4 linked regions of the Elephas maximus indicus genome follow. The protein of the gene in region 3 interacts with the protein of the main gene of each other region in a biochemical or structural test. Links are inferred from orthologs where the notes say so. Each region holds a gene or a part of one and is shown on either strand. Other genes may lie near its edges.

Region 1 (7,693 bases), on a different chromosome or scaffold from region 3:
AGTATATAAAATCCTTGAATACATGGTTTAGGAAAAAGAAAACTTTGTGGCCAAGTGAGATTTGAGAAAACGTCCAGGTATTCAGTTCACCAACTATGTATTTTCCAAATGAAAACAAACCATACCGTAACAAAGACATCATTACTTGGCCTCTAATAAACGCACTGGCTAAAACCTACTGGTTTATTCGCAACATTACCCTTTTAAGAGAATTCTACTCCACCATGCTGGAACTCAGGCACATTTTGGTTGCTCAGTGTTATAGAACATCTTAGCTTGCTTTCTTCAAACTTAATGCCCTTCAACTCCATAGCCTTTTTTGGGTCAAGATGCCTTAGAATCAGAGAACACTATAGTTCTTGCCCAATTAAAAAAAAAAAAAAACCTCACAATTTTGTATAAAATTAGAGGATTCAGAACACTTCGAAATCATCCATAAAACTCCAGGTTAAGAACCCCTGGTTTACGGTATTTACAACCAACCAGGGCGGATGGCCACTTCCACTTCTTCCCCTCTTAGGAACCTTCCATTATCAGGAGACAGTGGATAATTTGATGGCATTATATTTAGACAAACTAGTTTGACAGGGGGAAAGGTGTGATTTCTAAGGCTCTTTCACAGTAGTTCAAAAAACGTTTAACAACAATAACAGCAATTTCAATTACAACAACTATTAGTCTAAAATATGAAGTCATTTAAGTCAGACATAATGTAAACATCGAGATATTAAGAGTTCCAAGACATTTTTATTCTTCTGAAGTCTTCTGGCCCATTATTGACAACTAAAACTGACGGGACATCATATTTTTTTATAACAGGTATCACACACAATTCTGAAACAGCAAAATACCTGTCATACCCAAAAAAAGTCTTAAAACTCAACACGTAACATAAAAAAACAGAACACTACACAAAGAAATGCGTAAATTTTCCCCCACTTTAGGTCAGAAATATCTTAAAAATCGAGACCTGAAAGCACTGCCCAGAAAGTACCAAACTCTACACATGATAAATTTTCTAATTTGGGGGGGGGGGGCTGAAAACCAAACTTTTACTTTTCTATGCAGCTCTACCTGTGGTATTTTTACAGGAATGAAGCGACTCCTCCCAAGGTTCCCGTCCCCGAGGAGTCCCCCGCGCCCCCGGGCGGACAAGCAGGTTGAGAAGACCCGTGTTCACAGCGGGCAGCTGCCGCCCTCAGCCGGCGGGGTCCTCCCAGCGACCTGCCTACTCCCGAGCCGTCGGAGGACAGAAATGCCAGGCACTCCGTCCCCCAAGTCCACCGGCTCCCCAAACACTCTTCCACTGAGAGCGGCGCCCCGCTCTCAGGATACACGATCCCGCAGCCAGCCAAGAGCAAGAGCCTAAGGACAGACACCCCAGACGCTCTCTCCTCTCCTGGGGCGCCGCGACCCTAAGATCCACTCACTAGATGGCATAGATGGCACGTCGCAGGGATCAGCCGACATAGCTGTGACTCCACGAGTGACTGCCAAAATGCCTCCACCGCCACCTCAGGCTCCACAGGGGCAGCTCGCCGCCAGCTCCCGCCCCAGACCCCGAACACCGTCACGGCGGCAGTGACAAGCCCACACGGGGCCGAAGAGCGAGGTGCCCAAAGGGCCCGCCCGGCGCTGAGGTCTGCGGACCCCCGGGCCCCCAGCCTCCCGCCTCAGGCCCCCCGGGCCCTCCGCAGCACGGCCTCGGCGGGAGGGCAGCAGGGCCGGGCCCAGCCTGAGGCCTCCTCCCCACACCACTTCCCCCCTCCCGCCACCCCACACTCGGCTGCTGGAAGGGAGCAGAAGCAGGGCATCCCCCATGGTACCCCGCCGGCCCTGAAGCGGGCGCGCGAGGCTGCGGCCCCACGAGGGACGCCGCGCCCCACGAGGGACGCCGCGGCCCGGCCCCGAAGCCGCCCTCGGCCGCTCCGCAGAGCCACAAAGCCGCCGAGTTTCCGCCAGGAGAAGCGGGACTCGCAGCCCCTCCCTCCGTCCCTCCCGATCCCGAGCCTCCGCCGAGGGCCACGTGACGCGGGCGGACGCTTCAGGGCTGCTGCACTACATGTTTCTGGAAACTTCCACGCCTCAGAGCCTACGGAGGTCCTCCCGCAGTCCCCCAACTTCGCGCAGCCCGCGGGGCCGGGGCGGCCGTGCCCTCCCGGGCTCCCCTCCCGGGCTCCCCGCCGCCGCACACGCGGCCGCCCCGCCGCCTCCATTCATCGCGGCTCCGCTCGGCCCCGGCCCGCCGCCCGCCGCCGCCCGCCCGCCGCCCCGCCGGCCGACTTACCCAGGGAGCGAACCAACTGCTGCTTCCTTCCTTGTCGGGGCGAGGGCAGGGGAGGCGGGAGGGGAGAGGGGCCGAGGTGGGATTCACAGTGTTCCCACCTTAAAAAGGGAAACCGAAAAAACGGGGAAAAGGGCGAAAAAAAGGCTCAATAATATTTACAATTCCGGGACACCTCCCCCCACACACACCCACCCGCCCCCCAAAAAGAAGGGAATTAGTCTGTGGAGTCGGCGCTCCCGCCCGCGGGGAGTCGGGAGGGGGAGGGGAGCGGTCGAGTCCCACAGATTCAGCCCCGGGGACCCCGCAGCCCGGGCGGCGGCAGGAGGGCGCAGAGTCCACACGGCGGGGGACGCTCCGCTGCCAGGTGCAGTCCGACTCCCCCTGCCGAAGCGCGGCTCCCTCACGCGGCTCCGGCGCGGGCCCCCGCCGAGGCTCGCCTAAACTTTCCCCCCTTCTCCTCAGCGACCGGGGCCCCCCTCCCCTCCGGGCGGCGGCACGGACTGCGGCAGCGAGGACGGAGCAGGCACGGCCGCCGCGCTGTCGCTACTGTGGCTCTTGCTGATGCTGTAGCTCCCGCTGCTCCTGCCGCGGCCGCTGCAGCCGCTTCTCCCCCTCCTCCTAGTGCCTCAAACTCGGAACCGGTTTCAACCGGTTCAGACTGGGAGATTCCATCTCGGTTGAGTTTTCAGCCCATGGCGCCGCGGAGCGTTTGGAACCTGGGCCTCCGCCCCCAGCCCGCCCGCCCATTGGCCGGCTCCCGCCACAGCCGCGCCATCAGCCTAGCTCCGATTGGCCGGTGCAGCCGTCAGTCCCGCCTCAAGCCTCCACACGAGCCCGCCGCTTCGGCCCCCGCCTCTTTCCAGCGCGATTTGCCCGCAGAGTGGGGGAGGGGAAGTGGGGGGGTCGAAAGGGAGCGGGGGGGGCCGCAGGAGAGGGAGGTGGGGCGAAGAGCTGAGCCGAGTAGAGAACCAAGACAAGCCGCGTGGAGGATTGGCTCCAGCGAGCTGTCAATCAAGCGCAGCCCGCCCCCACTTCCCTTCCCCCTCCCGCCGCTCCCCCTCCCCGTGCGTAGCCCGCAGGCTCAGCCTTTCCGGCTCGCTCATTGGCTGGGCGCCTTTGGTGACGGAGAGGGTGGGGCGCCGCTCCGGAGCTGGTGGCGGCGCGAGTTTGAGCGCGGCGCGCGGCGGCTTCGCTCTGCTTTCCCGGCGCGCTGGCCCGCCCCCGGCTGCTCCCGCCAAGCTGCGGGGGCCTCGGGTGGGGGCTGCGCCCCGAAAAGGGAGGGCACCCCCGGCGGTTTCCTAGTCGAGGACGGGGTGGTAGCGGGAAGACCTGTCGTGGCCCCGAGCCCCTCCAGTTCGCCTTAGAGGCCTGAGTCTGGGGGTGAGAGTAGCTGGGAGAGGCTGGGGCGTGCTCTCCCTGCGCCTCGTGATCAGAGCCCGGGAGGAGATGGCCGAGCGGCTCCTGCGCAGGAATCTCTTTAAAATCTTACTTGTGCCTCCCTGGGCTGCCATTTGGGTGATCCTAAGAACTAAACCCTGTAACCCTTGTAATTGCTTTAACCACGAGTATTTTTGCTGGGTAAGCTTGCACGCCAACCGCCTCCCACCTGGTGCCCTTGGGCTGCCCCCACTCTCGGTTTTCTTTTCAGCTTAGCTGCCCTTTACGTACGTCATCATCAAATAGTATTTTCTGTGAAAGTCACAGGTATATGTTCTTTTACATGGTTGCCTGTAACAATTTACATGGTTGCCTGTCGTTTGTCCCCAAGTGCCCTCCAAATCAGCTTTACCGATTGCTATGCTTAAGAAACAGCAGCCCACCAAAACTTACTAGGCCCATTCTGCCAACAAGAGGTTGATAAATGGCTTATTAAATCAACGCAGTTTTCTTCAGCAGCTCTCAGGATGGACGATAGCTGACACCGAAGCACCGCTGAAGAATAACTCTCCCCAGCCAGTAAAGAAGCCCGGTAACAACCCAAGACTTAGATTTACGAAAATGACAGTGGGTGACTTTCAGACCTAGGATTTTTGTTCGTTGCTTAACGATAGTATTAAATATGTATAATACATGATAAAAAAAATTTTTTTTATATCATTTATATGGTCTAAGACTACAGCTTTCAGTATGGATTACACCTCAACGTAAAACGAAAACCCTCACAACTGGACCAATAATCAACATCATGCTGAACGGAGAAAAGACTGAAGTTGCAAAGGATTTCATTTTACTTGGATCCACAATCAACTTCCATGGAAGGAGCAGTCAAGAAATCAAATGATGTATATTGTGCAAGTCTGTGGCAGACGACCTCTTTAAAGTGTTAAAAAGCAAAGGTATTACTTTGAGGACTAAGGTGTGCCTGACCCAAGCCATAGCGTTTTCAGGTGCCTCATATGCATGTGAGAGCTGGACAATGAATAAGGAAGACTGAAGAAGAACTGATGTCTTTGAATTATGGTGTTGGCAGAGAATATTGGATATACCATGGGGTGCCAGAAGAATGAACAAATCTGTCTTGGAAAAAGCACAGCCAGAGTGCTCCTTGGAATCAAAGATGGCAAAACTTCATCTTAGTGCTTTGGACATGTTACCGGCAGGAACCAGTCTCTGGAGAAGGACATCATACTTGGTAAAGTAGAGGGTCAGCAAAAAGGAAGACCCTTAACGAGACGATTGACACAGTGGCTGCAACAGTTGACTCAAACATAGCAAACCGTGGTGAGGATGGTGCAAGACCGGGCAGTGTTTCTTTCTGTTGTACACAGGGTTGGTATGGGTGGGAAGTGACAGCACCTAACAACAGCAATGACATACAAGATGTTATACACTAATCACTTGTGATACTTAGGTTGTATTAACAGGAAAATGAGGGCTCTCCTCTTTTTTTTTTTTTTTAAGATTTTTTCCCCCCAGGCCACTGGTACTGACTTTCTGGATAGCCATGTAGTAGGAATAAAAATAGTGAGGAGTGAGACCTGGCTTTGCTCAGAATGTGAGCTTGGATAAATAACTTCACCTCTTTGGGCCTCAGTTTTCTTCTTACGCTTTTAATGAGGCTGATGTGGCCCAGGCCCACCTCAGAAGACTGGGGTTAAGAATCTAATGGGATAATATTTCTGAAGGAGCAGTGTAAACCATAAAGCATTTTGTAAAGTTAAAATAGTCTGCTGTCCCCTCCTTTGGCTCTTTTTATCCCATCTTTAAATCACACCCCTGAAAGGATCATATCTGTCTGATTGTAGTGAATGAGGTATAAATATTTGGCCTGTCTATTTTGCTTAGAGTTAGCCAGAGAGTTCTCTGCAGAAGATGGAGTATTCATTATAAATTTATCTCATTAACAACTGCAAAAAGGAGTGACGGACAGATGATTACCTTTCATCACGGTATTTTCAGGATCAAAATCAGAACACGAGGTATGATATTATTTGTCTAATACTGTCTTATTACCTTTATTTGCTAGAATTGAACGGATTTCAAACCCTGGAGTGGAATATGGATAAGAAAATGTAAGTAAACTCTAATGTCTGCTTGGAGTCCACCAAGCTGTAAGACTTTTTGGTACAATATTTCACTGAATTCTCACCACAGCCTGATGAGATATGAGATGGTTACTGTATATGTAGCTCTTAGTTTCTCTCCTCTCTCTTTATTCCCATAAACATACCACCCACAGTGATTGAGTCAATATTAGAACCCATGTTTTTGGTCTTTCTACTAGTTAACATTGTTTCACAAAATAACATTCATCAGAAATAAGAGAAGTCCACAAATTCCTTTTTCACCACTTGTTATTCATTACTATTTTAAAAATTAAAAAAAAAAAAAATACCTGGTCATGTTTAACAATTCAAACAATACAGAAATATCTACAGTAAAAAGTGGGAGTCTTCCTTCACATACTAACCCCCCCCTTTCTGCCTAGAGATAACCATCATCTCCCGGATGATGTGTATACTTCGAGATTTTTTTTATGCACTTACGAACGTATTTCTTTTGTGTTTTGTTCAACATGTATGACATACCACACGTATCGTTCAGCAGCTTGATTCTTACTTAACAGGTGAGAATGTATAAATCCACCACATCCTTGTTAACAGCTCCTTAGTCTTCCCCGTGATTTCAGTACCATAAATGATTCAGCCGTATCCCTACTGAGGACAGTAGGCTGTTCCTGGTTTTCCCTCTTGCAGATAATGCTCCAGTGAATGTCCTTGCACATTTATCTTTTGGCCTAAATGTGACTTTATCTCTAGGTTAAAGCCCAAAAGTGGAATTACTGTGTTGAAGGGTATGTGTATCTGTTATTGTGATAGGTACTGTCAGGGTGTCCCCTGAAAAGATTGTAGCAAATTACATACCTAAGTCAATATGTGAACAATATGTTTATTTCCTATAAAAGCCATCAGTATTTGTTATTCCCATATGATACAAACTCAAAACCAAACTCATTGCCATTGAGTCAATTTTGACTCATAGCGACCCTTTAGGACAGAGTGGAACTGCCCTGTAGAGTTTCCAAGGACCGCCTGGTGGATCCAAACTGCTGACCTTTTAGTTAGCAGCCATAGCACCTAACCACTGCGCCACCAGGGTTTCCTCCCATATGATAGATGATTAAATTATGACACATACCTACAAGAACACTCTTTAAGGTCACATCATAGAGTCTGATGATGCAAATGAGCAATCTTTGCATTTTAATTTGACCTTTTGGTTCTGAAGACAATCTCTACTGACTGTGAGCACCTCAAAGAATCCACAAATGATAACATTAAATGCCCATATAATGTAGGAAAAAAATAAGATAAATATGTACATTAAATCTGTTATTCTAATGACAGAATTGGTCTTTTCGTTGTTTTTAAGAAAATTAATACCACTTTGCTCTCAGAGATACAGCAGTGGCCTTCTAACACGCATTTCTTTCCACAAACCATAGAACAAGCACTTGGACTGAGCAAACACCATGCATCGTCTAATTCACTGTGCATATTCATGACTTGATCTCAAACTCACAATTCCTCAGGCTTTTTCTTCCAATAAGCTAGGGGACGTGTTTGTACTTAGTGAGGCTTAAAGGGAAGTACTGGACAAAATGTTTTTTATAAATATCTAATGAGAAAATTGTTGTTTTATTTGCTTTAAAAAGACATCATAAAACAGTACATCACAGCACATCCTTAGATTTCAAAAATATTCCCAGTCTAACTTGGATAACTGTGAAGGATGCTGAAGTGGGGTGGGGCGGCCCCGGGAGTGGGAGGGAAGAGATACTCTTTTCAAGAAAAAATTGACCAGGGAGGCGTACTCCATATCACAGCCTTATTCTTACTAAGCTCAATTGACAGAGTTGAGAACGTTTACGGAAAATGGTGCGTTACTGTCTCTGTCACCAGGACC
Region 2 (7,962 bases), on a different chromosome or scaffold from region 3:
ATAACACAGTATGGTTAAGTACAAATACCGCCAAGAAAGAACACAAAAGGGACACTCAATCCTGATGAGGGGCCTATCTGTCAGGGCTTTCTGGAGGAGGCGAGACAAAGCTGAGTCCTTAAGGGGTCAGGCAGGTAAAATAAGGGAAAAATAAAACAAAACCCATTGCTGTGGAATCGATTCCAACTCATGGTAACCCCATCTGTTACAGAGTAGAACTGTTCCATCGGGTTTTCTTGGCTGTGATCTTTAAAGAAGTTCACCAGACCACTGGATGGGTTCGAACCGCCTTTTGGTTGGCAGGTAAGCACAAACCATTTGCATCACCCTGAAACACACAAAGGAGAAGTGGAGGGTGCTCCAAGGGGAGGAAAGAGCCATGTGCAAAGGCTCAGCAACAAGAACACGGCCTGCTCTAGGAACTCTGTTGTTGACATGTGTCATTAAGTCAATTCCGACTCACGGCAACCCTATATGACAAAGTAGAACTGCCCCATGGGGCTTCCGAGGCTGTAATCTTTACAGGAGAAGACTGCCAGGTATTTCTCCCGCAGAGTCGCTGGCTGAGTTCAAACTGCCAACCTTTCAGGTAGCAGCCAAGTGCTTAACCATTGCACCACCAGGGCTCTAGGAAGGGAAAGGACGTAACTGAGGATGAAGCTTAGAAGGTAAAATGGGGTCAAAGCTCAGAGGACCAGCTAAGGAGTTTGGATTTTGCACAGGGGGCGATGAGACATCGAAGGGTTTTAGGAAGGGGAGAGAAGATAAAACACATTTTTAAAAGGTAAATTCAATTGTTATGTCTCTGCTTAAAAAGCTTCAAAGGCTTCCTACTGCACTTACAATAAAATCTAACTCTTTAGTCTGTAAGGCACTAAATAATCTGGCCCCTGCCTGTCCTTCGATCTTCATCTTATACCACTCCCCTCTTCATTCAGTATGTTCCAGCCTTCTTTCCATTCCTTAAAACCTAGGCTCCTTCCCACCCAGATTTTTTTTTTTTCTGATACAAGGGGGAGGAGCCTGGTGGCAGAGTGGTTAAGAGCTAAGGGTTCTAACCAAAAGGTCCACAGTTCAAACCTACCAGCTGCTCCCTGGAAACCCCACAGGGCATTTCTGTCTTATAGGGTTTCTATGAGTCGGAATCGACTTGATGGCAATGAGTTTATTCCATCTCAAACACTCCTCTCCCAGGTCATCATCCAGGTGTCCTCTAGTGGCTTGTGTTGCTGCACCCAAGATCTTCATCCCCATCCCACTGGCCATTTAACACTTTAATTGCAACTATCAATCTCTAAAAATATCTTGATTGCAAAGCAATTTTAAATAGGGAAGTCAGAGAAGGCATCTCTGAAACGACATCTGAACAAAGCCAGTCAGTGTTCAGACAGAAGAAACAGGCTTGGAGGCAGGAATGACTTTGGTGTATGAGAAACAAGGTCAATGCCACTGGAACAGAATGAACAAGGCAGGGACAGAAAGCAGTGAGTTTAGAGGCAGGCTGGAGCCAGATTATGCAGGACCTTAGAGGCCTTGTAAGGAGTTTGGATTGTATTCTAAGTGTGCTAGAAAGCCAAAGGAAGGTTTTGAGCAGGGGAGGAATATTATATAATTTAGAGTATGATTTATAGTTAAAAAAAAATCACTTTGGCTGCTGAGTGGGAAATAGATTGTACACGGGCAAAAGTAGCAATGGAGAGGCCAGCTGGGAGGTTACTGTAATACTCCAGATAACAAATTATGGTGATAGCAACAAAGATGGTGAGAAGTGTCCGTTTTTAGACAATTCTATATGGGTCAGTTTTTCTACTCTTTCTCTTGAAATGGCTACAAATAAATAAAATGAAAGGTAATATAATCTCTGTTGATGAAACAGACTAAGTATAAATCCAAGATACTATTACTTTTATTAATAAATCTCATGGAGGAAAAGAGGGAAGCTAATTCTACATTACATAAAAAAGCAAGGTGGGAAAAACAGAAGGAACTTCACAATGAGCCTGAAGGAGAAAATCTGTACTTCGACTTAATAAAAAGAGCACTTTTACTTTTTTTTTTTTTTTACAAAAGTAGACGTTACTTTACAGAACGTTAATGCAAAGTATCTTTGCAACATTTGTGCAAAGTGGAAAAAATTCACACACACAAAAATAGGGTGATGCAATCGGGACAAGAACGGTGTAGGTCTCTTATCTCCTTATTTATGTAACTGAAAAAGACTAAATGTGCTTGTATGGCTGACAAGTGGAGGTAAACACGAGGAGTCCCTGGGCGGTGCAAACAACGGCTGCTAACCCAAACGTTAGAGGTTTGAGTCTACCCAGAGGCGGCTAGGAGGAAAACCGTACGGCGCACACAGGGCTCTGCTCTCACACACGGTGTAACCATGAATTCCAAAACGCTCGATAGCAACTGAGTGTGGAAAACGGACCAGGAAGTGACCCGAAGGGACCCCTCTCTCCGGCTGCAGCAGGGCACCCCCCTCACCCCGCGTCGGGGCAAGCTCCGGGCCGCGGCAGAGATGAGGTGGAGCCGGCAGACGCCTTCCTCCTCTCGGACCGGCTTCCCTCAGGCCTCCGGCTACGCTTCGGGTCTTTTCCCGGTCTCTGAGGGAGAAGCGCCCAGCTCAGCCAGCGGGCATCTCCACAGGGCCCGGGCCGGTGCTGAGGAGACCGGAGCCGGCGCGCTGCAGAGCGGGGGAGCCCCACGTGAGCCGCCGGCTGGGACCGAGGACGGGAGGGGTGGGGGACGAAGGGACTGAAGACAGCCGGCCTGGCCCTACCTGCCCAGCTCCCGCAGAGCCGGGATCATAGACGCCAGCTCCAGGCCATGTTCGCCCATGTTGAGGCGGCGCGGCCCTCGGCAAGGAGATCCACACGGACTCCCGGCGTCTGCACCGCTGCCTCTGGCGGGAATGCGGGGCCCGACGGAGTCCCGTGGAGCCCAAACCTCCTCCCGGAAGCCGCCGCTGGTCCCGCTCACCAGGCCCGACTTTCCTTTCCGCACAGGACCCGGGGGAGGCCGACGGGCGAAAGGGGCGGGGAGAGAGGCGGGGCGCGTCGGTCAGCTTTCCCGAGCGCCGCGCGGGCCGGAGGCGCGGAGCCTTGACTGTGAGGGGAAGACTCTGCTGCTCGCAGCCGGGGAGGCTCAGAAACCAAGACCGCGGGATCTGGGGAGAAGGAGGCTTGGCAGGGAACTGCCCAGACGCCCTGGCTGCATAAACGCGAGAACTGAGAACACTGAATGACTGAGAACCAAGACTAGAGGCCAGGTCTCCCCAGGGCGTGACTCCCTCCCCGACCTACGAACCTGCCTTCAGGTTTTCGTTGTTCCTTTTACCACCACACTCTTGGCATCCTTTCTGAGAGAATCCAAGCAAGAGGTGGGTTCCTCCCTATCCAGGGGAGGATTATCCAATAAGCAGGGTAAGCACGGGCTTACTTGTGTTTACTTACTAATCTGTAATGAACAATTTCATATGGGTTTCTGTGAAGTTGTTCACTACAGAATAGGAAGTAAGCACAAGTAAGCCCGTGCTTATCTTGCTTACTGGGTCATCTGTCTGTGTCAGGGATCGTAAATTTGAAAAGAGGGTTTGATTGTATCAGAAGGTGCTGTGGGGTTGGGAGAGAGATGCCAGCCATACCTAGAAGCAGGATCTTTGATGTGATGAAGGAATGTGAAATTGCTCACTACAGATGATCTGGTAAGCAAGGTGAGCACCATGCTTGCCTTGCCTATTGGATAATCCGCCCCTGTCCATATCCTTTCTATTTCAGCAATATTTTCTCCTTGGAAGACACTCTTATGTTTCCTTGAGGATCCCCCCAGTCTTTAACATTTAAAAATGAGATTGGGTTGTTTTTGTATGCCTCATCAAGTCAGCAGCAATACTCCGTATGTTTATGTCACTTATGGGCATCTACTACCTGTGATTTAATTTTTAAAGTAAATCAATAGATTTTGTCTCTAGACATAGTCTAGCTCAACCCAATTTGTTTACTTGAAAAATGGCCATTATAAGAGACTACTGACGTGTCAAAAATACATATTTAACCAGGTAAAGCCATGCAGTGTGCTTACATTTGCTTTTTTGTTTTTTATTTTGCATATGAAATAATTGCTGATACAGTATCAAAAAAAACCCTCCAAAGTTTAGAATGACAACCAAACATGCTCCTGATTTAGGGCCTTTTCATTTGCTGTGTGCTCTGCCTTGACCTTGAATGCCTGTCCCTATTTGTCCCCTTCCTCCAGGTGTCCCCAAAGAGCCCCTCCTTATATAGACCAACACGTATACACTCACACGCTCTGTTCCCCTCATCCTACCTTATTTTCCTTCATAGCACTTAGAACCATACTATTTGATTAATCATCTCCTCCACTTAGAATTTAAGCTCCTGGAGAGCAATGTCTTGTCTGTTTTGTTCACTGCTAGATTCTAGGTTGAAATGCAGTGCCTGGCACGTAGTTGATCTTCTCTAAGTATTTGTTGAATTAATTGTTGAGTGGTATAGTGGAAAAAACAACATGGGATTGCAAATTAGTGACCCTGTACAAGTCCTCATTCCATCTTCTAGAAACCATGATCTCAGAAAGTTTCATAACCTCTCCATACTTCAGATTTGTTCATGTATAAAATGGGATTAATATCTACTGCAAAAGATTGCAGTAAAGATTAAGAGGTAGTAGAGTCATTTTTTTTTTTTTAGAGTCATATAGTGGAATACCATTTCATAGTTTAAATGAATGAAGGGTACGATACATACCAAATGGATGAATCCTCAAAGCAATATCGAGTGCGGAAAAAAAGCAAATTGCAAAAGGATACATAACAAAGAATTTCTACAACTCAACAACAAAAAGGCAACCCACTTAAAAAATGGGCAAAGGACTTGACGTTTCGCCAAAGAAGTGGCCAACAAGCACATGAAAAGATGCTCAAAGTCATAAGAGAGATAAATAAAATCAAAACCACGATGAGATACCCCTTCACCCCCCACTAGAATGGGCATTATTAGAGAAAAGGAAAACAACAAGTGTTGGCGAGAATGTGGAGAAATTGAAACCCTCATCCATTGCTGGTGGAATTGTACAATGCTGCAGCTGCTGAGGAAAACAGTATGGTGGTTCCTAAAAAACTTAGAACTACCTTATGACCCAGTGTTATGGGCTGAATTGTATCCCCCCAAAATATGTGTTATAAATCCTAACCTCTATGCCTGTGGTTATAATCCCATTTGGGAATGGGTTATCTTTGTCACGTTACTGAGGCAGGATTAGTGTAGCACGTGTTTTGTGTCAGTGTCTCACAAGGTATTAAAAGGAGCAAGTTAAGCAAGCAGATATGGGGGAAGATAGATGGCAAGCCACGTGGAGATCGCCAAGGAACCAGGAAACAAGCTGGAGAGACAAGGACCTTCCCCCAGAGCTTAGGGAGAGAAAGCCTCCCCTAGAGCTGGCTCCCCAAATTTGGACTTCAAGCCTCTTAAATTGTGAGAAAAGAAATTTCTGTTTGTTAAACCCATCCACTTGTGGTAATTCTATTATAGCGGTAATTTTTTTTTTACATAACTAAGACACCCAGCAATTTGGTATATATACAAAAGAATTAAAGGCATGAATGTAAACAGATAGTTGTATGCCAGTGTTCATGTTCATGAAAACCCTGGTGGCTTAGTGGTTAAGTGCTACAGCTGCTAACCAAAGGGTCAGCAGTTCGAATCTGCCAGGCGCTCCTTGGAAACTCTGTGGGGCAGTACTACTTTGTCCTATAGGGTTGCTATGAGTCGGAATCGACCCGACAGCACTGGGTTTTGTTTTGGTTTGGGTTCATGTTCATTGCAGCATTATTAACGATAGCCAAAAGGTATTAACAACCCAAGTGTCCATCAACAGATGAATGGATAATAAAATATAATATATCCGTACAGCTGAATATTATGCAGCCACAAAGAGAAATGAAATTCTGAAACGTGCAACAACCTGGATGAACCTTGTAAACATTATGCTGAGTGAAATAAATCAGACACAAAAGAGCAAATATTGTTTAATCCCACTTACATGAAATAGGAGAGTTCTGGCAGTGCAGTGGTTAAGAGCTTGCCTGCTAACCAAAAGGTTGGCAGTTCAAATCCACCAGCCACTGCTTGGAAACCATATGGGGCAGTTCTGCTTTGTCCTATAGGGTCACAATGAATCAGAGTTGACTAGATGGCAAAGGTTTGGTTTTTTTGTATATGAAATAGGTAAGTGCATACAGACCAAAATTTATTAATTCTTACCAGGGGCGGGTGAGAGGGGGAAATGGTAGGCATTGCTTAGGGGGTACTGAGTTTCTGCTAAGGGTGATGAAAAAAATTGGAAACAGTAGTGATGGTTGTGAAACATGGAATGTAATGTCACTGAATTGTACACATAAAAATGGTTGAAATGATTTGTGATATATGTATATATGTATAGTTCACCACACTAAAAATATTTTAAAAGAATACATAACGGCATTATATAATTTCTGTATACTTTTGAAACCACAAAATAATACTTTGTTATGTTCGCATACATATAGGATAAAACTACAAAAACATGGTTGGGAAGCTTATACATCAACTCCCAAAAAACCCACTGCCATTGAGTCGGTTTTGACTCATAGTGACCCTATAGGACAGAGTAGAACTGCCCCATAGAGTTTCTAAGGAGCGCCTGGTGGATTCGAACTGCTGACCTTTTGGTTAGCAGCCATAGCACTTAACCACTGTGCCACCAGGGTTTCCACATCAACTCCAGGGTAATGGAAATTCTGGGGAGGGAGAGAAGGGAAAGAAATGAATAAGAGTTTTCTCTTAATAGAATGTCTGAAGTGATCACGACAAATTTAACATTTGTTACATCTGGGTGATGGTATATTATCATCTGTATGGTTAGCATATCTCAAAAAATGTATAAAAAATAAATACATTTTTTTAAAGCTTAAGATAGATAATGTGAAAAACATTGTCAACTAAGAAGGAACAGATATTAGCTATTATTTTTAAATCGTGTGAAGAAAGAGTACAAAAATTACAGTGCTGTCTAGAAGGTAATTGCTGAATAGTGTTGTAACAGAGGCTCAGTAATCCATTTAATTTAAAAAGTACATTTTGTGTAAGGTATTGTACTAAGTACTTCTGTGACACAAAAATGAAGATAAAGTCAGTCTGAAGTGATATGTACTCTGTGGGTATAGAAAGGATGTATCGAGAACTCAAAAGCAAAGCAAAACCTGATGGATACCATAAGAGAGATATAAACAGCAGGCACTAGAAAAATAGAGGAAGCGATTCTATCTACTCAGCTAGAGAGAGGAGCTGGATCAGGAAGGAGTTCAAGGAAAAGATGGCACCACATCTGAGATGGGGCTTGAAGAATAAGTAGGATTTGGAGAGACAAAGATTGGGGAAGAAGAATATATTCTCACTAGAGGCAGCAGTATGAGCAAAAATTAAAGAGCGCACTGAGAGATGAGTGGTCCCTCTTGACTGATGTTAAGAAACATTTAGAGTAGTTAGACAGAAATACTTGGACAGATTTCAGTAAGCAACAGAAAGGCACTGGGAGATTTTCTCTAATGAGTAATGCAGTCTAAGCTAATCTCTAACCTAGCAGGAGGGCACAGGACAGAATAAAAGGAGGGCAGCAGGTCACTTAGAGAAATCAAACATCCTTAGCAGTATATCAGTAGATAAGCAGTTGATGTCACAGGTGGCCAACATTCCAAGCAGGCATCTTCCCCCCGTTACCCTCATATTTCTCTATTTCACCAAACTTTTTGGGGGAGTTTTCATACCAGTTGATTTTATTTCTTCACCTCCCACTCAGTCCTAAACCCACCATGTACTCTCAACCCTGTCCTCTTCCCCATTAAGTGCCTTTCGTCAAAGTCACCAATGGCTTTCATGTAACTAAATCTAAAGAATATTGATC
Region 3 (7,810 bases):
CCTAGTATTGTATTAATACAAAAAGAGTTTAACGTCTTGATTGCCTGAAAGGGCATCAGGGACATCTAGGCACTATGCCATTCTATACTTGGTTAGTTTCCTAGAAGTGAGATTACTGGGTCACTGGTATGTGCATTTTAAATTCTGATAAATTCTGCCAAAGCTCTCCAAAATGTCTGTACCAATTTCTACTACTTAAGATTGCATGACCATGATTAATTAAAAAGTAAAGAATTCCATTTTTAAATCCTGACTTTAAGAAGCACCATAAGGTAATGGATTACCCTATTTGCATATCTAAAACCAATGTTAAAATATAACTAATGTTTCAAGGCAAAGTAAAATCCAACTACCCAGATTTAGTTAGATGAGGTGAATACCCGTCTGTAAAAAATTTAGTTAGATGAGGTGAATACCTGTCAACTACAAGTTCACTGAGCAGAGGCCTTTGTTTACTTGCATCATCCATTGTTAAGAAGTATTTGTGACAGAATTTCAAAGTACGTGTCACCTGCACATATCTTATATTTGCTTACAGGACTGGTGGGCTCAATGGATATTTAACATAAAACGCACAATACAAAAACAGCAGGCTGCAACAGCACTGGCCTCTGTTACAGACGTCAGTTTAAACCAACCCTTAGCTTTAATTTCACACAGAATTACTGGAAGCGAATGGTATAATTTGTACTGTCGGCATTATGTTCACAAAAACGTGAAATACAAACTATTTTGCCCAAAAAGTCATTCCCAACAGAGAGGGAGGAGGATGAACGCTCATTCAATGGGGAAAGGTTTATTCCTTCCGCTAAGGCAAAATAACTAGACGCTGTGTATTCTCAGTTCACAAGGAATGCTGCTTCCCCACTTGATTTTTCCCACATAGCTCCAAAGTGAGCTACTTACGACTGAAAAGGTCAAGGATATTAGTGTCAACTAGGTTTTACAATTCTTAAGCTTTTGGGGAGCACAAGCCACTTTGAAATATGATAAAAAGCTCTCTGTAGATAAAAGCACAGACAGCCCAGACATGTGTATGCACCTCAGGTGAAGAGCCCATGCCCTAGATTAGAGCAGAATCATAAAACTATGGTTCCTAAGAAACCACCGAAGTCCAACCCTCAGGAAAACTGAGGCCCTGGAACCACATGGTAGGGCTTGTCCAAGGTCAACAGTGAATTGAAATCACAATCAGGAAAGGCATAAGCAATTCAAAGAGATTTTGAATAAAACCATAGCTTTTTCTTACACAAAGAAAGTTCAACCAGAAACTAAGACTACAGTAACAGAAGCTTTAAGCAGTACTGGAATGAACTAGCACGAACACTATCCAAAAGTTCCTTGATGACCTAAGCTGCAGACATAAGGAAAAACACAACTTCAGGAACCTTAAAAAGCACTCACCATGTTCCACAAAAACATTGCAGTGTGGACCCCCATGCCTCGATGATTCCTTCTTCCCTGCTCCTTTGATAAAGTGCAGGGCAGGCAAACTTGGCCTTCGTTGGTCCCCAAGAACTTTTCCAGGCTGCTGCCCCATAAAGTAATGCTAGGCACCCAGAAAAGGGTTCAAGGTCTTCCAGAACAGTCAGTAAGCTTAAAAAGAAAATGGTATATATGTGGGATTTCACATTCACCGCATCTCCACAAGTCAGTAATTGAGGTCAATCACAAAAAGACACCTTCCAAAACAAGAGTGAAGCACAGTTCTTAGGTTGACTCTTGTAAACAGGAGTTCCAATAATTTTTGCGGTTAATCAATTTGAAGTAATGGAATTGTAATGTTACCCAAAAGTTTGACTTTAAGTGTCCTTTACTGACTGAATATCAACGTCTTTCTTTTCAAGAGGAAAAACTTAAAAATATTCACAGGGAATGTTGTAAAGGGTCAACAATACTAAAGTCATTTGAACTCCCACATGTAAAGGAAACGTTGATCTTCTTTAGATGCTCCTCCAGAACTTTTCCTGTGCAAGTCACCCACCCCCTATCTTAGTTTCTTCATCGTCCAACAAATTTCCTGCCGAACTGGCTGCTGCTCCCGCTTCTCTACCCTTCTGTCCGGAAAAGGACACGGATCACCCAGATTTCAGCGAGAGCTTGCCCTTCACTCTGTCGAGAAGGAATGCATTGCCAGCAACTTTTAAGTTCGCTTTTTAAAAGGCCTGTGAAACCAGTCCAGACTTTTCCTTTGCATTAAAGTTTTTGGCTGGGCTGAGACCGAGGGGGCCGTAGGTGACATTGGAAGTCAGGGCATTAGAGGCTTGCAGGAGCAACCTGGGGGGAAGGAGAGGTCACTTGACAGCAGAGAGGGAATCTGAATCTGGGGGGAACTCCACGGCCAAACCTGGAACCGGGAATGGGAGCAAGAGGCGGCTTGGGAGTAAGGAAGCTGCCGGGTCGGGGCACCGGCGGTTTACTCCGGGGCGATGCTCCTCCACCTCTCAGTAAACGGGGTGTTTCAGGTCTGGGGGGGAGCAGAGGCCACCCCCAGTACCCGAGAAGCCCGGACGGGCTGTATGGGACTAAGTACCCTCGCGGCCCCGAAGTCGGAAGCCGGTGTAGGGGCTAAGGAGGCCCGGCCGCCTCAGCTGCCCCGAGCCTAGGGGGCTCAGCCCGAGACACCCCCTCCCTCGGCCCCGGACGTTGCCACGGCTGCCGCCGCCACCAGGCAGTCACATCCCCCGAGTTCGGCCGCGGAACCCAGCCTCCCCCCGCCGGGAGGGGCTGTAGACAACGGAGGGGCTCCTCAGCTGCAGGACCCGGGAACCGGCTCCGGCTCCAGCGCTGCTCAGGGAAAGACATCGACCCCCGCGGCCGCCATGATGGATTACGAGCAGCTTCACAACGAGGCCAGGCTCCACCCCTGTCCCCGCCCCCTAGGGCTTCCGGAGCGCGCCTCTCAAAGACCGGGATGCCCCTGGACCAGCTTTCGAGGGACGCCGCCGCACTTTCCGGCTCTGGTCTCGCTGCCTGCGAGAATCTGGACCAACACAACCTCTTAGAAGTGGTTTATTCTGAGGGGCAAGGTGAGTAGTAAGGAAGCACCCGCCTCCTTTGTACTGCCATTGGTTCCCGAGAATCGGGGTCAGGCCTCTCTCCTCCATCCCATTGGCCAGAGGTGCAATGGTGCTAGAGCTCCCAACCAACCACTTTCGATGTATTCCGCAGGGCAGGCCGGGAGTTGTGGTTCTGCGAAGCCCGCTCTTGTTGGCCGGCACCCGGTACTTCTTGCCCTTTGCTCTCAACTCCTGAGCTTCGGTCCCGCCTTCCTGGGAGACCGTGGACTAGATGGCCTCGCGTAGGGCTGGCCAATGTCTCCCCTTCGCAAGTAATAAAACCGGCGAAGAGCCAAAGTAAGGGGAAAACTGCGGATTGGATTATCCCCCGAACCGGAGTTGGATTACTTCCTTAAGCTTCTTTAGGGGAAAAAATTTGGCTTGCTCCTGGAAACGAAGACTATTTGGTGCCTTTTTCACCTTTCCACCCAAATTTCCACCTTTTCCCCAAGAAGCATAAATATTAGAGCTAGTGAAAAATATAGCTGGAAAGCATCCGACGTATTGCTAACGAATGCAATTGTTTGCTTTCTCCGGGTATCACGAGGCTCACTCATTTAACAAACTGCAGTTGTTAAGCACCTCTCCAAGGCTTTGCCAGGCGCGTTCAAAGATGTTCGAGCTAGAATGAACCTTTAAGAGTGAACAACCTCGTTTCACAGATGAACTCGTATACCCATAAAAATATCCATGTTAGCTGAGGTAAAGCCCAGATCGTTGAGTTTCGCAGGGCTGCGGGGCTAATTAGTGACCCAGACACACCAAACACACCTGTCATAACCCATCTTCCGCAACTGAAAAGCACCCTGGCTCCCTATCCCTGTCTCCTCAAAGCATTGCATGTGGTCGGGATGTACTCATTTCTAAGGAGATCTACTTATCACAGCGCCTACTCTACGCCCAGCACTGTTACTAAGCACTTTTCATCAACTGCATTTTCACTTAATCCTCATTACAGTGCAATAATGCGTGGAATATTACTCCCCATTTTTTCACTATCAAATAACTGTTGATGCAATACTAAACAATAGATTTTTCAGAAGTTGCTGATTAGGGGGAAGCCACAGCCCCATTATAAGTGTTGTACATTCCCCTGCTATATGTAGGTGACACATTAGCCCAACAAATGAGTTATGTATTCTAGAAATATTTTTGCTGGAACGTAAAATGGTGCTGTGATTGCATAGGTATTACCTTCAGGGGGAAAGGAGTCACTTGGAGGTGAAGCTATGAAAACATGTGCCTAGATTTCTAACTAATGTACAAATTCAGATGTTAATTGGCTTAGCTTTGCTGTCGCAGAATATCTGACTGACGTCTAGTGTAGCAACTTTTGAGTCATTCTTCAAATTTTAACACCCTTGGTCCCCTTTATTTTCCCATAATCCTGATTATTCCCCTCCCCCCTCCCCCATTTTTGTTTTTGGAAAATTTGTTTTGATTCCTATTCATGCTTTACTCGTTTCCTCCACATCTTCATGTATCTTCATTCTCTAATTTAGCTTAAATTTGGGCAATCAAATCAGATCCAATACATGTTCCTTGAACAGTTTATTTACCATTCATTGAACAAGCATTTCTTGAGCACACATGATGTGCCAAGCACTGTTCTAGGAGCTGGAATACAGCAGTGGGGGAAAAAACATACTTGTCCTCATGAAGCATACATGGGAGAAAACCAGACCCAGTGGCATCGATTCCGACTCATAGCGAAGGGACAGCAAGTACACAAAGTAAGTAACAAACCCAAGTATCAGTCTCAACCCACACTCTAAAGAAGGGCTTTATAATACCTCTCTAAACCTTAAATATGTATCTTATTCACAATTGCTAATGGGCTTAAATCACTTTAATTCTCTCCATCTATTTCTTCGCCTATGAGTGGGGGTCCTATTTGCTTACTTTATGAGGTTATCATGAGGATCATCTTAGATACTGTTTGATTTTCCACAGTAAAAGACTGAGACCATGCTTCATGATAGGCAATGTAAAGATCAACTGCACTTCACCTAAAGGCTTATTACCGCTAATGTCCATTTTCCACTGCTTGTTAGTTTTAGGTGAACCCCAAGCCCAGGCTGTAATATTTTTCTCTAGAGAGGCACTATATTTTTTTACTTCCTGTATAGCACTACAGAATGATACTTTTGAGGACTGAAAGTTGGATCCAGAGCCCAGCAAATATCTGTCAAAAGCAAATAAATGTTACCAAATGTTGACTAAATCCCTTTAAGCTCAAAGCCTTTTCATAAACAATGATTTAGTTGAGTCTAATTTTGTTCTCGCTTTTATAAAGCAAAGCAAACCCACTAGGTTGCTAAAGAAATTCAGCACCAGTGTAAAATTTTCAGCTTTTTTAAACTTACTGAAATTATACTTAACAAGGGTGCCCTCTAGTGGGCCACAAAAAATAATCACCAAAAGGTGCTTTCAAACCTTCTATTAATTTCCACTTAATAGGCAATCACGATTCAACACTGAATGAGCAGCATAGGCCTGGCACCTTGGGAAAGACCAAGTGATAAGGATAAACTTTCAGTGAGCTTTCGCTATGGCCCTAGTCAAAACCAAAACTGGCACTCAGACACCAACCCTCCTGTTCCCTTCTAACAAAAGGCTTAAGGCCTGGAAATTTTTCTCAAAAATACAACAAATGAGAAAATCTAAAGTTAAAGCATAGCCTATAGAATCTTGATGAGTCTGCAAACTCATGAAAACCAGTGATACAAGGTGGGGTAGAAAAAAAGTGACATAAGAAGTTGCCCATTGAGTAATAAGAGGAAAAAAATACCATTTAATGAGATAGGGCGAATCTGTACTTCACATTTTTCAAGCGCAGTGCAGTGTTCAAAAGTTACTGCCATTGAAACTAACATAAGGCCAAATATTATTAGGTAACCCAAGTATAGTCAGGAGCTGTCAGAAGGAACTTATATTCACTAAATCCTCCTGTTATTACAATTATTACACAGAACACAAATCAATGGTGTTAACACCACCTTTGTAATATAAAAAAGTAGTTTACCACATATTTGAAATAAACAGCCCTTTAAAACAGCGCCTTTAAAAAATGTTTCCCAACAACCTAAATCAGGGCACCATTTTTAGGCAGTCGTCAGAAAAAACAATCCCTCGGTGAGAACATCAACACCTTGTTTTTATCTTTTAACCTCAAATTAATTCAAAAGTAAATGCATTACTTCAATGACAGGAGGAAAACAGCTTTTCTTTTTCTATCTGTTTTTCTTACTTTGTTTTCTTCATGTTTGTCACAACACCCAAAGGTACATGGATCCAGAACATTCATTCTCTCTGCTGTCGATAATAATTCAGCTTCTTACGACTCACCCCTCAAGGCAGGACAGAGGTTAAGGGGCGGATATATTTTCAGCCATCACTAGAAAAAACATTCAATGGGAAATAAGAGTCAAACCAAGCGAACAACGGCTTGGTTAACTTTATTATTCCATTTGACTGCTAGATTAACTGGAATGTTGTACTTGCACTTTAGAGCTGGAAATAGAGACAAAGACACTTTGGGGGTCAGAGATGCCATGTGTTTTATAGGGGCAATTTCATGGGGTATTGTGCACTTTGAATGATGGTGAGTGGAAGACAAAGGATCCTCCACATTATTCCAGGATGGAAGTCCATTTCGCTGGAACTCTGCACGCTTTCAAAGACCTGAAACTACCCCCTAGTGCTGGGACTCAGCCTACCAGAAGGGCCAGAGGCACTGTTCACCTCTCCACCCAGTCCTCTCTTAGAAGGAGGAAGCAGGTATGTAGGCTGGTGGCAGCCCACAGCTGTTGATGCACATCAAGTGATGAGTTTCTCAGCTCTTTACTGGGCTGCACATGGGGACCATCAATTTGATTCTTCACTTTCTAGAACGGCTTCAGCCAGGTACAGACAGTCCTGTCCTGCAGGTGCCTCTCCTTATCCTTCCTGTTCTAACAGCCTCTGGCGCGTTTCCATCACAATTTCTTCCATTATCTCTGGCTTTAAGATGTCTTTGATCTGAAAAAAGGAAAAAGGCATTTGACAGAAAAGAAACCAACCATAAGCAGATCACCAAGCCAATCCAAACTTAGAAACCAAACACAGTTAATATAAACCTTCTGTATGCCTTTCCCTTACAGAGGCTAAGTGTTTCAAGATATGATCTGCTAGAATTAGCTTAATACATCAGCAAGATTCTATGGGATATAGCTGACAAGAACAACTATTCTGACATTCATTAAATTTGGGATGGGCAAGATGAAGTCCAAAGGGTTGCTGTCATAAACTAATCCCATCTGGAACGTCCATCTCCCTAAATCTTCAGGTTGATACTTTTCTTGTTGTGTGCCATTGAGTTGATTTTGACTCATAGCAACTCTATAGGACAGAGTAGAACTGCTGTAATCTTCATGAGAGCAGATTACCAGGTCTTTTCTCTAGCAGAGGGGTTGGTGGCTTTGAACCATCAACCTTTCAGTTAGCAGCCAAGGGCTTAACCATTACCCCACAAGGCACTGAGAATAATGCAAGTATCTAGGGGAAGATCTACCACATGCTCATTAAGGCTGCCCCTCAGACCAATTCATACTGATGGACATGGTAAAGGTATTTGGGAAGATGTACTTTGTGTCACTGTGGAAACACTGGAGCTGACGGATGAACACCTAATGCCTGCTCACAGGTCGGCGAAGAAGAGGGAAGCCCTGAACGGAGTACCTGATGTGGAAGGGACGCTTCATAGCAGTACA
Region 4 (7,038 bases), on a different chromosome or scaffold from region 3:
GAGGCTACTAACATGCCAAACCAACTCTCAAATGGCAAATCTAACATGTCAAACTTCAAGCTTGGGAGAGGGAATTCAAAGATTCAGCGTAACAAAGTAAATCTAATCAGGACCCAATTCAAGGTGCATTGTGACTGCCTGAGATAACAGGGAAAATGAACACCTAAATTACAGCAACAGGCTGGGAGTGGCAGCACAGAGAGAAACAAAGCTGAACTGTGAGAGGGAGGGCCTGGCTCTGCAGGGTCAGGAAAAGGTCCACTATTTGTGAGGGGGCTAGAACAACAGGTAAGATTTCAATAGGGAAGTGTGGGGCGGAGGCAGGCATTCAATGAAGATCCAGCAGCCCAGGCAAAGGCATAAAGGTTTGAATTGGGATGACAACCAGGGGACAATGGAGCAGACTAGTGGGGCTATGCTAAAGGAAAGATGAGAGGGGCTGTGCAAGCAAAGGAGACAGAAAGACACATCTGGTATTTGGGAAGACACATCTATGGAAAACCTGGCCTCAATTTTGTGGGAGTGGGAGTCATTGAAGCATACTCTTTTTTCCCTCTAGAAGGGGATTGTCCCATTCGCTCCCATTTTTTGAAACATCTACATGATAGTACCCGTAACCTCAATGTACGAACAAGACCTTGCACATACCAAGGCTGAATAAATGCCTGAAATTAATTACATCATTCACCTTCACAAATTAGGAAAGTTAATTTACTTATATTACAATCTCATTACAGTGGGTTCCAAGATTCTGTCTAACCCCTTATATTAGAATTACATTGTACTCAAAGTTTACCGGTTTCCACCAGTTAGATTCTTGGTGTCCTGGTCTTTGTTTAACAGTATTTGAGTATTAATCACATTCTCCTGGTCCATTTTGTCCAGCAGTTAATCTTAAGGCACTATACTGTCACGGCTTTGTTTTGTGTGTCTCTATCCCACAGAACCAAAAATTTGGTTCCGTTAGTGCTCCGTAATTTATTTTAATAGCTTTCAGTGTTTAAAGTTTATAAATAAAATGTTATCTACCTATGAAAAGTCAGAAACATCTAAACCTGAAAAATCTACTCCAATACCTTATCCTTTTAAAATACATATTTAACAAACAAATCAGGTAGTGAAACACCTTTTAGTTAAAAAAATTTTACACAATTTCTTCAACTCATATTTAGCATTCTTTTAGCAAAAGAAACTTCACAGTATCAGGAAACCGGATAAAATACTTATTACGGCAAACTAAAGCAAATGGTCAAGTAAGACAATGCATTTTACTTGGAAAAGAGGATGTTTGATGCTCAGTGTCACTGTGGGTTCTTAACCTAAAAGCAGATATTAAAATCACTAGACTTAAAATAGAAATTACATTTGAAATTGAACTAGGATAGAATTAAGACAAGTGCCATTCAAAAATCTCCCTTAGTAAACATGCTAGCCTTATTCCACCTCGGGACTTAACCAAATGGATCTCTAACCTATTAATAGTCCAGCTTGAAGAAAACGGAAAACACATTTTCAAAAAAGAAAAGGCCCTCGCTGAGGCCAAAGTATCTTTTATTTATTTATTTGGTAATTTATAGTACTGTAAAATAAAAGATGTCTGGCCCATGTCAAACTTAGCGCCGGGTTATCAATATACAATTTTGATACTTCAGCTTAAGGTCTTTGTTTCTAAACGCTAAAGCGTATTCATTTCTCAACCGTTCAAAGGTTGCAGTTCAGGGGTTCTTAACCGGGAGCTCAGAGATCCGCAAGGAGCCCAAGAACCTCGAACGGTGTGCATACGTGTGTACGTGCATTTTGGGGGAGAGGGGAGGATACTATGGCTATCTTCAGATTTTCAAAAAAGTCTGTGGTCCAGAAAGAGGTTAAAAAAACAAAAACAAACAAAACCCTGTTTTCGTGTGATTGCCAAATAGACAAAGTGACAAAAGGCAAAAGGCGTACATTTTTAACTATGCAACCACCGTTAAACATATTTAAAACGCATGCTCTCATCCACAGTGACCCAGATCCTCACACAGACCTTCTGTTTGGAATACGTTCTGGAAAATAATTTGGTTCCGAATGGGGGACAGGAGTTCCAACCACCATCCCCCACACTCCTCGGCCCCAAGCGAACCAGCCTGTCCATTCTCCCACCTCGTCCGCGGGCGGGGCGGGGCGGGGCGGGATCGTACCTGGGCGCGGGCTCGATGAGGGTGGTGGTGTCCAGGTAGTGGATCTTGTAGAACTCCAGCAGGGCGGGCAAGTGGTCAAACTCCTGGTCCCCGATCTTAAAGCGGCGGTTGGGCAGCGAGTTGATGATGTAGTGGGAGACCCGCGAGTTCTCGGACACAGACAGCACGTAGTCCCCGGGGCAGGTGGAGGAGTCGCGGACTAGGAACATACCGTGGCGCTGGCCCTGGAGCCGAGTCTGCGCCTCCTGGCGAGACACTGGCCCCATGTACCAGGCGGAGCGATCCGAGGAGTCGAACCTGGCGGAGGACATGGTGTCGGGCCAGGGGCTCTGTGGACGGTCGGGGTGGCGGCTGCTCTGGAAGCCTTTGCCTGGCAGATGGCTTCGGAGCCGAGGAAGGGCCTCCCGGCACACCTCGGGGCGCACTCAGAGGGCTGGGCCGGCACCTGCTTCGCGGCGCCGGGCCCGCAGCATTCTCCGCCGCCGCCCGCCTGCTCCGGGGCCGCCTCACAGAGAAAGCCGGCCCGGGGAACGCGGAGCAGAGCCGGGGGACGGGGCTGGCGAAGGCGAGACCCAGCGGAGGCCGCCCTGCGGGTCTCGGGCAGACCGGCGTACCGGGAGTGCCTCCAGTGACTCCCAGCCTGGAACGCGCCGCCGCCGCCCCCACACAGCTGCGCACCGACCCCAGCCGCCACGCGAAACACCGGACTGCAATGAGCGTCGCCCCTCCAGGGCAGTTTTGCCCAGTCCGTTCCCAAGAGCCACAGCAACAAAATGGCGGACGCGGGAGAAGCGGCCGGCCACCTCCCCCTCCGCTCAGCACGCTCCGTCTGCGCACGCGCAGCGCTCTGACTCCCAGCTGCCGCCGGGGCCCTCCCGGTGACAATGCGCGGCGCAGCCAATCAGGAGCGCAGCTCGGAGCCGGGGCGTGCACCTCCCGAGCCCGCTCCCGCCTTCCGGGAGGAGGGGAAGGCGGCGGCGGGCACTCCCTTCCTGGGCCGCGGAGCGCCGCAGGGGGCGCTGCTGTCGCCCGGTCGACCTGCCCTCCTCGCTGGCAGGAAAACAGCTGGAGCCGTGGGGGAGCGGCATTTCGAAAACCTGCTTCTGGGGAACAAAGAGTAAAGTGCGGAAGCTATGCGGAGAAATAGGCCGAATCTTCAGCCGGGGAGGCGTGGCGCTGAGGCGACCTGGCCGGCCGAGGGACCCGAGGGGCCCCGCACTGAGGGAGACCGACAGGCGGACAGGTCCCGATGGGTCGCGGTGACTCAGGAACGCGGTGGGCCGGCCGGCTGAGGTGACCCTGGGACTGAGATGTCACCAGATAGGTGAAAAGGTGGCCCAGGCCCGAGGTGTTAGTTGAGTTACCGTACGGGCACCAAGGTGGGTGTGAAGGTTGGATTGACAGGATCAAGTGGTCTGGGAAGCCTGGAGGGCGTCTGGCCATCACTCGGTGAACTGCTGCAAGTACAACGCCAACGCCTTGGGATTCGGCCTGCTTCTCCGACTTCATCTCCGACCGTTCCCCTTCTCTTACCCAGCTCCAGCCGTGCCCTCTTAACCTATTTCCACCCCCGCTAGCATGTGTATTTTAAGAGAGCAGATATCTTGGCTGTCTTGTTCACCCTTGGCCTAGAGTTGATGCTCAGATATTTGTTGACAGAATTGAGAAAGACCACCAAGCTCCTGGTGCCCGATTATTGGTAGCATCACCCCTGGAACTGGGCAGGCAAGAGTGGGAGAAGCAGGCAGCACAAGCCCATACCTAGATCCCTGTGCCAATGGAATTTTACTTGGCTGTTTGCACCCCCAGGTTAAACATATCCTAGACTGTAGGGTGACGAGTGGAGTCCGTCCTAGGGTAAGGAGAATGTCAAGGTCTAATGCCTTCAGTGACTCAGCATAAGTAAATTTTCATCTTCCCCCAAATGCGCTTGCATGTTGTATTAGTCTGAGGTACAATTTGAATAGCACAGAATTTGAAGCTGAATGCTTGGGTTCAAATCCTGGCTCAGTCACTTGACTAGCTGGGTAGCTTGGGCAAGTTACTTGATCATTTTGTGCCTCAATTTGATCTATAAAATAGGGATAATAATAGCACTTACCTCCTAGGTAAAAGTAAGTATGAAGGAATGCAAGTTAATACATGTAAAGTGCTTAGAATAGTGTCTGGCACATGTTAAGCATTATGTAAGAGTTTTCCATTATTATTATTCAGCCTCTGCCTGGGCCTCTCCCTCTATAGGCTAAAAGCATGTGCAGATCTCTAAATGGGTGAGTGAAGGCTGGGAGAAAAACCTCCATATGATTTTCTGTTTACTTTTCACTGCCAGATTTTACCATTCATCATCACCCACTCCTTGTCCAGCCTTCCTGATCTAGTTTCTACCTGTACTTTGACCGAAACTGGGCTCTTCAAGGAGATTACTGATCTCCAGTGAAACCATTATTCTTCTGGATCTCCCTGGCCACATGTGTTTATATTGGAAATGTCTTTCTGGAAAGACTTCTTTTTTTGGCTCCTGGAACAGTAACATAGTTTTCTTCCTACCTCTCCAAATATACTTTTTCAGTCTCTTTCTATAGCACTTTTGTCTCCAGCTCCTGAGTGTAGAAGCTCAGTCCGTAATCTGCCTCTACAGTGCCTCCTTTGATAGACTACTCGTCCTGAAGGCATTAGGGGTCACCTCCCTGTTGATAACTCCAAAACACATATATTCTAAAAGTAAAACAGAAAGTGGCCACACCCTATGATTACTATGCAAACACAGTAATCACAGCCTAATACAATTCTTATCACATTGTATTGTAAATGTTTACACGTATCAGTCCCGTCCTAATCTGTGAGCATTTTGGAGGCTGACTATAGCAGTATTTTTTATATTCCCAGTGCCTAGCACAGTGCCCCACACATAATACATACTTAATAATTTTTTTTAATATATATGATGAAGTAAAGAAGCCAGAGAAAAGCAAAAATTTATTTCAGTGACGATAAGGAGATTCTATGATTGTTTTCTGTTATTAACATAATAAATTTATTTAAAATACATAGTTTGGCTCCATATCTCCCTCTGTGTTTAATCTTTCATTTGGATTGAACTCTGCCTTTCAACTTCCCCTTTTATGGCAATAACACCACTGTTTTCCTAATTTCCAGGCTTAAAATTGGAGTCCTCTTTTACTTAACTGAAGAACTCAATAGTGATACCTAATTTTGCTTTTCAGTTCACAAAACTTCATATTGTATTACTTAATCCAACCAAAGTCCTATGAAGTACGCATTTACAGACGATCCAGAGGCCCAGAGAGGCTAAGTGACTTGCTTCAAGTTTCATAATTTGCAAGAGGCAGAGCTGCCATTCTTATTTATTTTTGGCGGCCATGTATACAACCAAATACATCCATTTAAAATTTCTACATGAACACTTCAATGACATTGGTTGCATGACATTTGTCACCATTCTTACTATCTCTACCCATATTTCATCATAATTAATTTAGGCTGTCTGCCCCTTGAAGTTCTCATCTGTGCTTTAGATTAACGGTTGTCAGTTTAAACTCACACAGATAATTCTTTAGAAGAATCAATGCTCAAGGCAAACATTCTTTAGTAATTGGGCTAAGCTGTTAGTTTAACAGTGACTTAATGGGATAGTTTCAGTGCAAGATTTAAAGATTATTTCTGGGCATTAGATTTGGGTGTTCCAGTCTCAATGGATCCAGTAAGTCTGGTTTCCATATGAATTTGAAGTTCTGTTCCCTGCTTTTCCTCCACTTGATCAGGATCCATCTGTTGGATGATCAAAACATCTTGTAATGGTAGTCAGGCATCATCCATTTCTTCTGGTCTCTGTTAATGGAGGTAGTAGTTTATGGAGGCAATTAAGCCTGTAGACTATTTCCTTCACCGATTCCCGGGTCTTTTTCTTCCTCTGCTGGTCCAGAACAATAGAGATCAGTTGTATCTTGGGTGGCTTTGTGCAAGCTTTTAAGACCCCAGGGGCTGCTCATCAAACGAGGTAGAAAAAAACTCTAAAAACAACGTTAAACCAATTGACTGGATAGACCCATGAAGTCATGACTTTGAACCAAAAAAACTAATCAATGAAGTATTTAATTGTATCTAAGTATTATAGTATCAACAGGTGCAGCTTTTTTTTTTTTTAATCTTTTGGCTGTTGTAAAATTACGTACAATGCTTTTTTGCCATTTGACCTTTTTTTATTTTTTAACCTGGCATACAGCTTAAAACGGTAACAGCTACATTAGTCTAGTTGTGTAACCACTACCCTTAGTCAATGCCAATTTTCCCATTGCCATAGACAAAAATTCACTACTTCCCAGTGCATGAGTTCCCCTTTGCCTCCCTGCCTCCGGTAACCACTAGTAATCGTTCCTCTCTATGTAATTACTTATTCTTGTCATTTCATTAAGTGAGATCATACAATATTTGTCCTTTTGTGATTGACTTATTTCACTCAGCATAATGTCTTCAAGGTTTATCCATATTGTAGCATGTGACAAGACTTAAATTTTCTTTGAGGCTTGATAGTATTCCATTGTATGTATGTACCACATTTTGTTTATCCATTTATCTGTTGATGGACACTTGGATTGTTTCCACCTTTTTGCTATTATAAATAATGCTGCAGTGAATATCAGTGTTCATGTCATTTCTTTTAGGTTCCTAGGGTATGTACATAGGAGTGAAATTGCTGAGTCATATGGTAATTCTATTTTTATAATCTTTGAGGAATTGCCATACAGTTTTTCCACAGCAGTTGTACCATTTTACATTTCCAGCACCAGTGGATAAGGGTTCCAGTCTCCCCACATTCTCACCAACATAGAGCCAGTATTCT

Evidence for each region.
Region 1: the proteins of ABL1 (region 3) and XPO1 interact in a test that uses a peptide from one of them, tested with the Homo sapiens proteins (2 studies listed by BioGRID). The link is inferred for Elephas maximus indicus from reciprocal best matches to the Homo sapiens genes ABL1 and XPO1.
Region 2: of the proteins of ABL1 (region 3) and ATR, one has a biochemical effect on the other in vitro, tested with the Homo sapiens proteins (2 studies listed by BioGRID, with this or other methods). The link is inferred for Elephas maximus indicus from reciprocal best matches to the Homo sapiens genes ABL1 and ATR.
Region 4: the proteins of ABL1 (region 3) and CRKL form a complex in vitro, tested with the Homo sapiens proteins (4 studies listed by BioGRID and IntAct, with this or other methods). The link is inferred for Elephas maximus indicus from reciprocal best matches to the Homo sapiens genes ABL1 and CRKL.

What each region holds. Positions count from the first base shown.
Region 1 is NC_064844.1:728,500-736,192, reverse strand, and holds the start of XPO1 (exportin-1), read right to left. Parts: upstream 3,015-7,693; 5' UTR 2,288-3,014; intron 1,654-2,287; exon of another isoform or gene 1,431-1,653; intron 1-1,430. UniProt on the Homo sapiens protein: Mediates the nuclear export of cellular proteins (cargos) bearing a leucine-rich nuclear export signal (NES) and of RNAs.
Region 2 is NC_064841.1:17,232,752-17,240,713, reverse strand, and holds the start of ATR (serine/threonine-protein kinase ATR), read right to left. Parts: upstream 3,011-7,962; 5' UTR 2,842-3,010; coding exon 2,783-2,841; intron 1-2,782. UniProt on the Homo sapiens protein: Serine/threonine protein kinase which activates checkpoint signaling upon genotoxic stresses such as ionizing radiation (IR), ultraviolet light (UV), or DNA replication stalling, thereby acting as a DNA damage sensor.
Region 3 is NC_064827.1:81,645,867-81,653,676, reverse strand, and holds the start of ABL1 (tyrosine-protein kinase ABL1), read right to left. Parts: upstream 3,010-7,810; 5' UTR 1,541-3,009; coding exon 1,405-1,540; intron 1-1,404. Other genes in the region: EXOSC2 (exosome complex component RRP4), read right to left, coding at 7,692-7,810. UniProt on the Homo sapiens protein: Non-receptor tyrosine-protein kinase that plays a role in many key processes linked to cell growth and survival such as cytoskeleton remodeling in response to extracellular stimuli, cell motility and adhesion, receptor endocytosis, autophagy, DNA damage response and apoptosis.
Region 4 is NC_064840.1:21,415,791-21,422,828, reverse strand, and holds the start of CRKL (crk-like protein), read right to left. Parts: upstream 3,020-7,038; 5' UTR 2,489-3,019; coding exon 2,178-2,488; intron 1-2,177. UniProt on the Homo sapiens protein: May mediate the transduction of intracellular signals.